Nothobranchius furzeri: one gene and its partner. The protein of the gene in region 1 binds, or shares a complex with, the protein of each later gene. Links are inferred from orthologs where the notes say so. Each region holds a gene or a part of one and is shown on either strand. Other genes may lie near its edges.

Region 1 (4,084 bases):
CACAATAACAGGCAAGGAGAAAGACAGCTGCAGGTATCCACAAGGTCTGTTCTGTTCCGTTTACATTGGCTACGGGGGTTTCAAAGGAAATGATGTACGTCTATCTGAACGTGACTTACTTAGAACGTTTTGGGATGTTTGACACCGCCTCTGTGTTCGGCTTCCTGTCCGGCCGGTTTGATGGTTTTGGAAGGGTAGCACATAAACAAATAGCGTAACGATGGCGTACACTTTTGCCACTTACACACTAGCCGCCGGTAGAAAGGAACCTATTCGCTATAACGGTGGCTAATTTCAGCGAGGTAAGTTTAGCGTCCATTTCATGACGCTTTCACGTTCGGTGGAAAGCTCATTCAGTCTAACCCTTGTGGTAAAGGTGAGTCCTCGGAACGTCCGAGTAAACGTATTAACTAAAAGCATCTTTGCTGCAGAGAGTGTTAATAAAACACAACCGTTTGTGGGCTACAAATCCACAGGTTTGTGAGTTAATCTAGACTATTTAAAAATCACTTTTCCTTGAGTTTTTATGACTTCAGGTAAAAATAAAACTAGTTTGTCAAGATTTGATACATTTTTAAGGAGATACCCATGAGCAAGCCAAGTTGTGAGTAAGTATGGTTGAAATAAATTTCTAGTTAAAAACCCATTTACTTTCAGTTGTAGGGCTGAGATTTTTTAAATGTGGATATAATTTCAAACAAGAAACCTGATGACTCAATATCTTTACATCAATATAAATATAAAAACAGTGAATTTCTAGCATTAGCAGGTGCAGCTATTGCTATCCACTAGCTTGTTCTGTCTCTATGCGATCATTACATGTATTCTCACGTGTCTGCTCGATCAGGAAACCTCTAGGTCAATTTTCTGCCCTAAACTTTGCATTTGGATTAGTGGTTTTTAATTATTTGGGGACATTTGTTCGTGTTTTAGTGAGCCTTTTCACTACGGATGTGTATTGGTGAAATTGTGGCGATACGATACGTATCACGATACAGGGAAGACGATACGATATATCACGATATATTGCGATACATTCAGCCAGACGATATCAGCGATTTTTTAGACTGAATTTATTGTAGAAAATTTCAATAAACAGTCCAAACTGATACTTAACATGTTAAACATGAGGTATCTGAACCATAATAGAGGGATTTATATTTCAGTGGTGGAAACAAAACCCAATGCACACTGCTGCTAGCTAGCGGTCAGTGTTTGAATTGCACCAAAAGAAAAGAAAATACACAAATGTTTGCATGTAAACTATTCCAAAAAGTTCAACACATGGCTTTTGGATATCAATATAATATTGCAGGAAAAAACATCACGATATATTGCCATATCGATATTGTCTTACATCGCTACTTTTCACCGTGGCTGCTGACGGAGATTTATTTATCCTGCTGGTGCTGAGAGACGGGTCAAACCAGCGGCATAAATATCTAAACCTACATGTGTGTTAGCATACAGCTGTACAAGTGTTTCTACAGCTCAAACTGATAGAGAATGGCACTTAGGTTGATGTTTGACAAGAATCTGATTAAATTGTGCATTTAATCTGCTGATGAATTTATGATTACACTTTCTGTAGACAGCTTGAAGGGAGTTAACTTGCAAATATTTACAGAAGAAAAAATATGGAGGTATAATATTGTAAAATTGGAATTCTGCAAAAGGACACTGACAAATAAGTTTTCATCCAGCCCTATTAAGTTGTATTTTTATTTTCTGAGGACTAGAGGTAAGGCTTTAGTACTCGACCTGAAAACAAAACAAAAATCTGTCGCATCTTTGGTTTAAGTGAATAATCACACCTTTTTACCAATTAGAGGGCTGAGTTTGTGTTTGTTAACCCTGCTGTGAATGTGGAAAACACTCGTAGTGAGATTAGCCTCAGATTTCTACAGACATCTGAAGCAACGTGACCTTAGGACCGATGTGTCTCAAGTATGCTACTTACCATGTGTGGATATTTCTCTGGATCCGTCACACTGATGTCTGTCAACTTTATGTTCAGGTACTAAAAACCAAAAAGAGTAGGAATGTAAATGTCAAAAAACTGCAGAAGTTTGTCTGAAAGAGTTTCAAAAAGTGTATTTTCAATACCTGGTCAACAGAATGAAGCGTTCCGCAGATGCTGAAAACAGATGTGTGGATAAATATTCAAGAAAACAAACATTTGGACACTTTTGAATAGGCTACATGGCTCGTTTAGCTCGGTTGCCTTAATTTCCGAGTCAGACTCGTGTAGAAACGTCGCAGTACTAATAAGCTACAAGTCCATTGGAATATACAAAGAAATAGCTCAAGCTTTAGCAGAAGTTCATTCAAAGCTTCGCGTTTAGAGACCACTTGTTTCCAACGTGGTGCTACAGTGGGTCGAATTGCTAGCGTTCTTTCCTGCAAATGAACAACAGCTTCAACGATTTATCACAGCAGTGGAGGCCAAGCCGTAAAACACTAACCTCAGATCGTTCTTGAGCTCCACCACTACGTCCTTCCCAACCAGAGACTTGAAAAACGAGTAGAAAAGCTGCGGAGCACAACGACATGCTAACGTTAGCGTGTAGCTGCACGCTACACGTCGAGCACGACAGTTTATGAACAAAGAGAGAATGGAAACACTAACAGTTACACAAAGACTAAGGTAACGACTTATTTAACTGTCATGTGTTTGGTGTCATGCTAAATACATTTTGAATATTGAACGAGGTTAGCTCACCATTTTTGCGGTAGCTTTGTTCAGTAGTCGCGTCCGCTTTTGATGACGTATCAGGGAGCGCTGCAAATACAGACAACTACCACCAGGGGGAGCCAGAGGTCTTCAACATATTCAGCTTGAATCGTATCCATTTCTTTGACATGTTTTGCTCATAATTAATCAACATTGTGTTTTTTTACACACTTAAGTGTGATTACAGCATCTAATTTGCCTCTGAAAAATTAAATCTGCCTTAATATCACTTTGCGTAACAAACCCTAATAGTCCACGTCCCTACACACACACACACACACACACACACACACACAGAGAGAGAGAGAGAGAGAGAGAGAGAGATATGTTAAAATAAAGAAAATCTCACTCTGAGACTTTTAAAGAAGTCGGCAGCCCTGGTAAATAGGATAAACCTATGTGTGCCTTACCTACGTATGAAATATATGTAAATGGCCCTATTTTGCCCAGCTGTGTGCAGCAGGTATGTTTTTCTTCTAGAATAATGAAAACTGGTGAAAAATAGGTCTAAATCCTAATCAGCGTTGATTTAAATTGTGATTAGATGACACACATTTAAACAGATGATGACAGATGTGCTCAAACTTGTAAACAGCCTTAACCCATTAAAGCAAGGACATAAGATAGTCTAATAATTAGGTGATAAGATAAACCCAGCAGAGAAAAGAAGTCAGTCTAACAGTGGGATAAAATGCAACAAGATTTATGACAAGCTCACATTTGGCGTTTGTCTGCTTCTTTTATTAAAATAAATAAATGAATAAAAAACGGAAACTGGTATGGTGCAAAACAGGACAGAATGGTTGGTATAGAGATGAGTTCCCTTGTTTTATCTATTTGTTTCTACTTCAATGTTTTACCCCCTTTGCACTATTTTAATTGCTTTTATTTTCTATTTATTCATTGTGATTTATGTTTCTTATGTACTGTGTACAGCACCTTGGGCTCCCTGACAAGGTCGCGGAAGGCACTTTATAAACAAAGCTTTGAGTTGAATTGAATTCACATTTTCTTCAAAAAACTCAAGGTCCGGCTGTAAACATAAAAACTCTGCAGCAAGGGAAGACGGTTTCCTCTTATATGAAAAAGCCAGTCGTAGGAGAATTGATCCCTGGTGGGTACCACATAATTCAGTCGGTGCCTTAAAAAGTACCACATCTGGAATCCATCCCTACTCCTTATACTGGTCACCCTGGTGTGGGAAGGCTTCCAGTCTCAAACCAGTCATCCATGCTGATTGCCTTGGTCCCTCAGGTTCAAGCAGGTATAGTCCCATCAGTGTCTCTGCTCTCCAGTCCCATCTGTCGGTGGTCTCTGATGAACTGGTTTTGGCCCAGACTGTGTGCAGAA
Region 2 (4,174 bases), on another chromosome or scaffold:
TGTTTCAGGTTTTGTGTGGAAAAATACATATAGGACTACAAACGTTCGTCCCACTAAATTGATATAATTGACCCAGACAGAGAAGAGGGGGAGATCAGTTTAGCAAAGAATCCTTCTTCCAGGACCAAAGAAGGAGCATTAAACGAAACGTGAAAACCACCATAAATCTGGCTATCTGATAAGTAGCAGCTACGCTGGGGAGAAAAGATTTTGTCGGGACGTCATATATGCGACTTCTGATTTGTAGTCATTTTATTTACGAATTTTTACAAGCAAACAAAGCTGAAATTACATGACATAATTGTGATTCAGGGCGTAAGGCAAAGCGGGTTATTTTTTCTTTGCTCCAGGGACCCATGAGCTGACTGGAAGGGGAGGAGACTTGGGTTCTTATTATCAAGTTTTACATCCTGCTGTTCCAGCGGGTCGCACTGGCTCATGAGCTCCTGTGGTTTCACAGACTTTGTTTAGATCATCCACTCAACGTCATTAGTTTCGCAGCAAAAGAATTATTCAAACTACGTCCACACGAATGAACTGTTCGGTCCTTTATTGTCAACGACGTAATTAACAGTGTCCATCTCTTTTTTTCCATTTGGGGCTCTCATTTTTCTACTTTTACCTGAAGCAGGAGGCTACAGATACACAAACATGAGCGGTTAGCAGCACATCCGCCTGGCTGCTACTGAGCTGTGGGTCTCTACTCTTCATACCGAAGTTCTATCTTCCCACTCTCACATGTCCATCGAGGAAAAGTTGTTTTGAAATATTTATTGCCATCGTTTCATTGCCCAGCCCTACCTTCAGTCCTTCTGGACAAATCCTTATAGCAGAAATCCACTATGATTAACAATGAATAATGAGAAGTGTTCTAACAGATTGAAGGTGAAACATCTACATATGTTTGAGATTCTGCTGCAAGTTAAATTTTGTTTGGCCAAGTAGGGTGGAGTCACCTGGTCTGAACGAGGCTGAAGGTAAGGCTGCTACAGAACATATAACAAATTGTTTCTAATTATGGCTTTCTGCTCTGGGTTCAGATCAGTTACAGCCATTTGTGTAAGTTTCCCAGTGACAAGCAGCTACATGTTGTAGCTTTAGAAGTGAAACATCCTCTTCAAATTAAACTAAATCAGATGCCGTTTCCTGATTAGGTTTGTACTGAAGAGCATTTGATGACTTCAGCTGCAGTGAAGCAAAGAGAGGGGAAATGTCCACATGAAGTCATTGTAATAAAAAACTTTACCGATTCCATAATCATATCCTGCAACACGACTTCAACAGAGTTAAAGCTACATTTCAAACCCAATCATATTCAGAACCATTTTTTCCCTGTATGTTTACAGGGGAGCTGGTGTCCATCTCCAGCAGTCACCGAGCGAAAGGCAGGGGTTCTCACTCCATGCAGAAATACACAACCAGTCTCACACAGAAGCAAGTTATGGGCCATTCCCATCTGTACCGGGTCGGCCCGGGCCGGGTAGGGTAGGTTGTTTACATATCTGGGTGGCCTGGTATTTTTCCGGGCCAACCAAGGCTCATTCTCAGCCCTCTTCTCGAGGGGGTTTGCTTCAGGCCGACCAGGGCCAACACACCCACTGCTGACAGCAAATTCACACCTTCCATTAGAGCAAGCCTCTGATTGGTGGGTAGAATCAGCCCACATGGGCTTAAGGCAAGGATGTGTGGAATCAACCGGGCCAGGCTGGGGCCGACCGGGGCTACCCGGCCCGGGCCGACCTGGTACAAATGGGAATGGCCCACTAGAGCCCCCAATGAACCGAACATGCATGGTTTTGGTCCATCAAAGGAAACAGGAGTGCCCAGGAAAAGCCGACGCAGAAATAGCGAGAACATGCTCTACACATAAAGGCCACAGCTGGAATTCAAACCAGCAGCCTTCTTTCTGAAAGTCAACAGGACAACCTACTGCATCGCCGCCCTAATGCTACGTTTAACAGAGAAAAAATAGTGAAAACATGTCTTTGCCCTGAAATTCTGCAAAATTTTGCACACATTTTTAACGGTTTTGTGATTTTTCATTATTGAAAATAACTCACATTAGTTTGAAATTATTAATACGATTATTTCAAACTTTGCTTTATAATCAGTGGTCAGGGGTACTTTGTAAGTATATGAGAAGTATCCATTTGCATGCAGTGTCTGCTATGTTGAATGAACATGTTCAGCATCGACACAGATCTGCTGTTTTGTTAATGTCCTGGTGCATGCTTTAAAAAGCAGGTGAGCCAACCAAGTTCTTACTGGTGGCACTTGCACACGCAGAGCCACTTTCTCAAACCTATAAAATCTTCTTGGTGTTGATTGTCGAATGTTGAAATGGAAGATAAAAAGAACCTCAATCTCGTTTTTATTCAAGTTAAACGTTTTCTCTGCGCCTTTCAAAGCACATAAATATCCACTACTTAAACAAAACGTTAAACGTAGCACTGATTTACTATTATAAGAAACAAATAAACTAAACATAATACCTAAAATTCTGCTTACTCTCCCATAAACTTAATCAAAAGGCGACTTTGCGTTGAGATGAGTAACTGAGCGCGGTGACGTTGACAGCACGTTTTCGGTAAAATAAAAAGAACTTTTGGGTTCCACTGACCTGCCCTCCGATGGTAATGTCAAAGAACACGATGGGGTTGTTTGGGTTTGTCGCTTGAACAGACATCGATATGTTTTGACCGCTTTTGCACAGATTTCAAATTACAAATCGGCAAAAAAAATTACATACTAGCCATTTGAAAATAGAGAGCATGCGCAGAAGAAACTTATGGTGGCTCGCGAGAGACAAGGTACGAATTGCAACTAGGGACAAAAACCTAGACATGCATTGTATATATTTCTTCTTTAGACCCTGGCTAATGTTGGTGTAAATCTTTTGTTTCCCATAGCTATGTTATTACTAGGATTTCACATAACTTAAATCCAACCTTTTCCTGATGTTTAGCAGTTCAAAAATGCAAATTTAAAATGTTTCAAATTTTATTTAAAGGTCAGCTGGAAATAAATAACTAAATATTAAAATACAGTCTCAGTGAATAGTAAAAACAGAATTAAGTTGAGCAAAATAAAATGCAATGTACGTCTTGACTCCACTGTCCTCTTTAGAAGAAGAGAGCACAGGAGAACCCAGGAGAACACGAATGAACACTCTAGAATGATTTTACCAGAGCGCCACCTTGTGCTGCATATTTTTTCACTAAATAAAAATAGTCAAATATTGAAAACACGACTTGGGAAATTCGCAAGAAATAGAAATAGGTCAATTTTGGATGTGTTGGACAAGTAAAAAAACCCAGTATTTTCCAACATAAAAACACTTGAAATATCTTATTATACACTGAAAGATGAGTAATGTATAGTTCCTAGTGGCTAAATTATGCTCAGAAAATTATAATTTTCTCCAACTCATTATAATAGAGATTTACTAATATAAATGCTTCAAACATGTTTTGTATGATGTATGGCAAAACTTCAAGTTCAGTATTTGAATCTAGATCTATAAATGTATAAATTACTTATCTTTACTTCATAGACTTGAAAACTATTTATTTTTGCAGGGCAGGGTATGCCATCAGAGTAATATTTTAAATAGATTTTCAAAATAACATCTCCGACTTGTTCTTTTGATTAATTATTTCATATTTCTTTTCATGGTTCGTTTTCAAAATGTCAAAAAATGTTAACAGGTTAATATAAAGATTTGTGTGCGCGCGCGTGCTCGTGTATTTTTTATTTATTTTTCAAAACAAATCCATGACTAGATGGCAAAAAGTCGTAATTTACGAGGTACAATGAATGTGGCACAGAACCTTGTGTACCGTCTGTAGGAGGAGTCGTGTGTGCTTCACTATCCGAAAAAGCCACACAAAAGTAGACCAACACGGAGGAAAGACAGCTGTTCTAATACTCGTATGGGACAAAGCAGGTAACAGTACAACTGGTGTTATAAAATGAATTATGTTATTTACCCGAATTGCCGAAACATCTGTTAGGATTTACCCTTTTCCGTGTTTATTTCGCCAAGACTCTGGTCTGCTCCTTTTTGTTTTCCCGGTACACATAATTCATGAGCTATAAAGAAGTTGTGTGTTTCCAGATAGATTAAATCCATGATTTCTTCTCATATACACACACATTTAATCTGTTTATTTAC

What was found. The genes of interacting proteins can lie anywhere in the genome.
Region 2: smx5 (region 1) and ppih share a complex: the UniProt entries of both Homo sapiens proteins name them as parts of the U4/U6-U5 tri-snRNP complex. The link is inferred for Nothobranchius furzeri from reciprocal best matches to the Homo sapiens genes LSM2 and PPIH.

What each region holds. Positions count from the first base shown.
Region 1 is NC_091756.1:60,995,490-60,999,573, reverse strand, and holds the start of smx5 (smx5), read right to left. Parts: upstream 2,803-4,084; 5' UTR 2,726-2,802; coding exon 2,723-2,725; intron 2,534-2,722; coding exon 2,466-2,533; intron 2,138-2,465; coding exon 2,107-2,137; intron 2,021-2,106; coding exon 1,961-2,020; intron 1-1,960. UniProt on the Homo sapiens protein: Plays a role in pre-mRNA splicing as component of the U4/U6-U5 tri-snRNP complex that is involved in spliceosome assembly, and as component of the precatalytic spliceosome (spliceosome B complex).
Region 2 is NC_091755.1:32,545,056-32,549,229, forward strand, and holds the start of ppih (peptidyl-prolyl cis-trans isomerase H), read right to left. Parts: upstream 2,804-4,174; 5' UTR 2,687-2,803; coding exon 2,621-2,686; intron 1-2,620. Other genes in the region: zgc:154075 (putative oxidoreductase YteT), read left to right, coding at 3,933-3,946. UniProt on the Homo sapiens protein: PPIase that catalyzes the cis-trans isomerization of proline imidic peptide bonds in oligopeptides and may therefore assist protein folding. Participates in pre-mRNA splicing.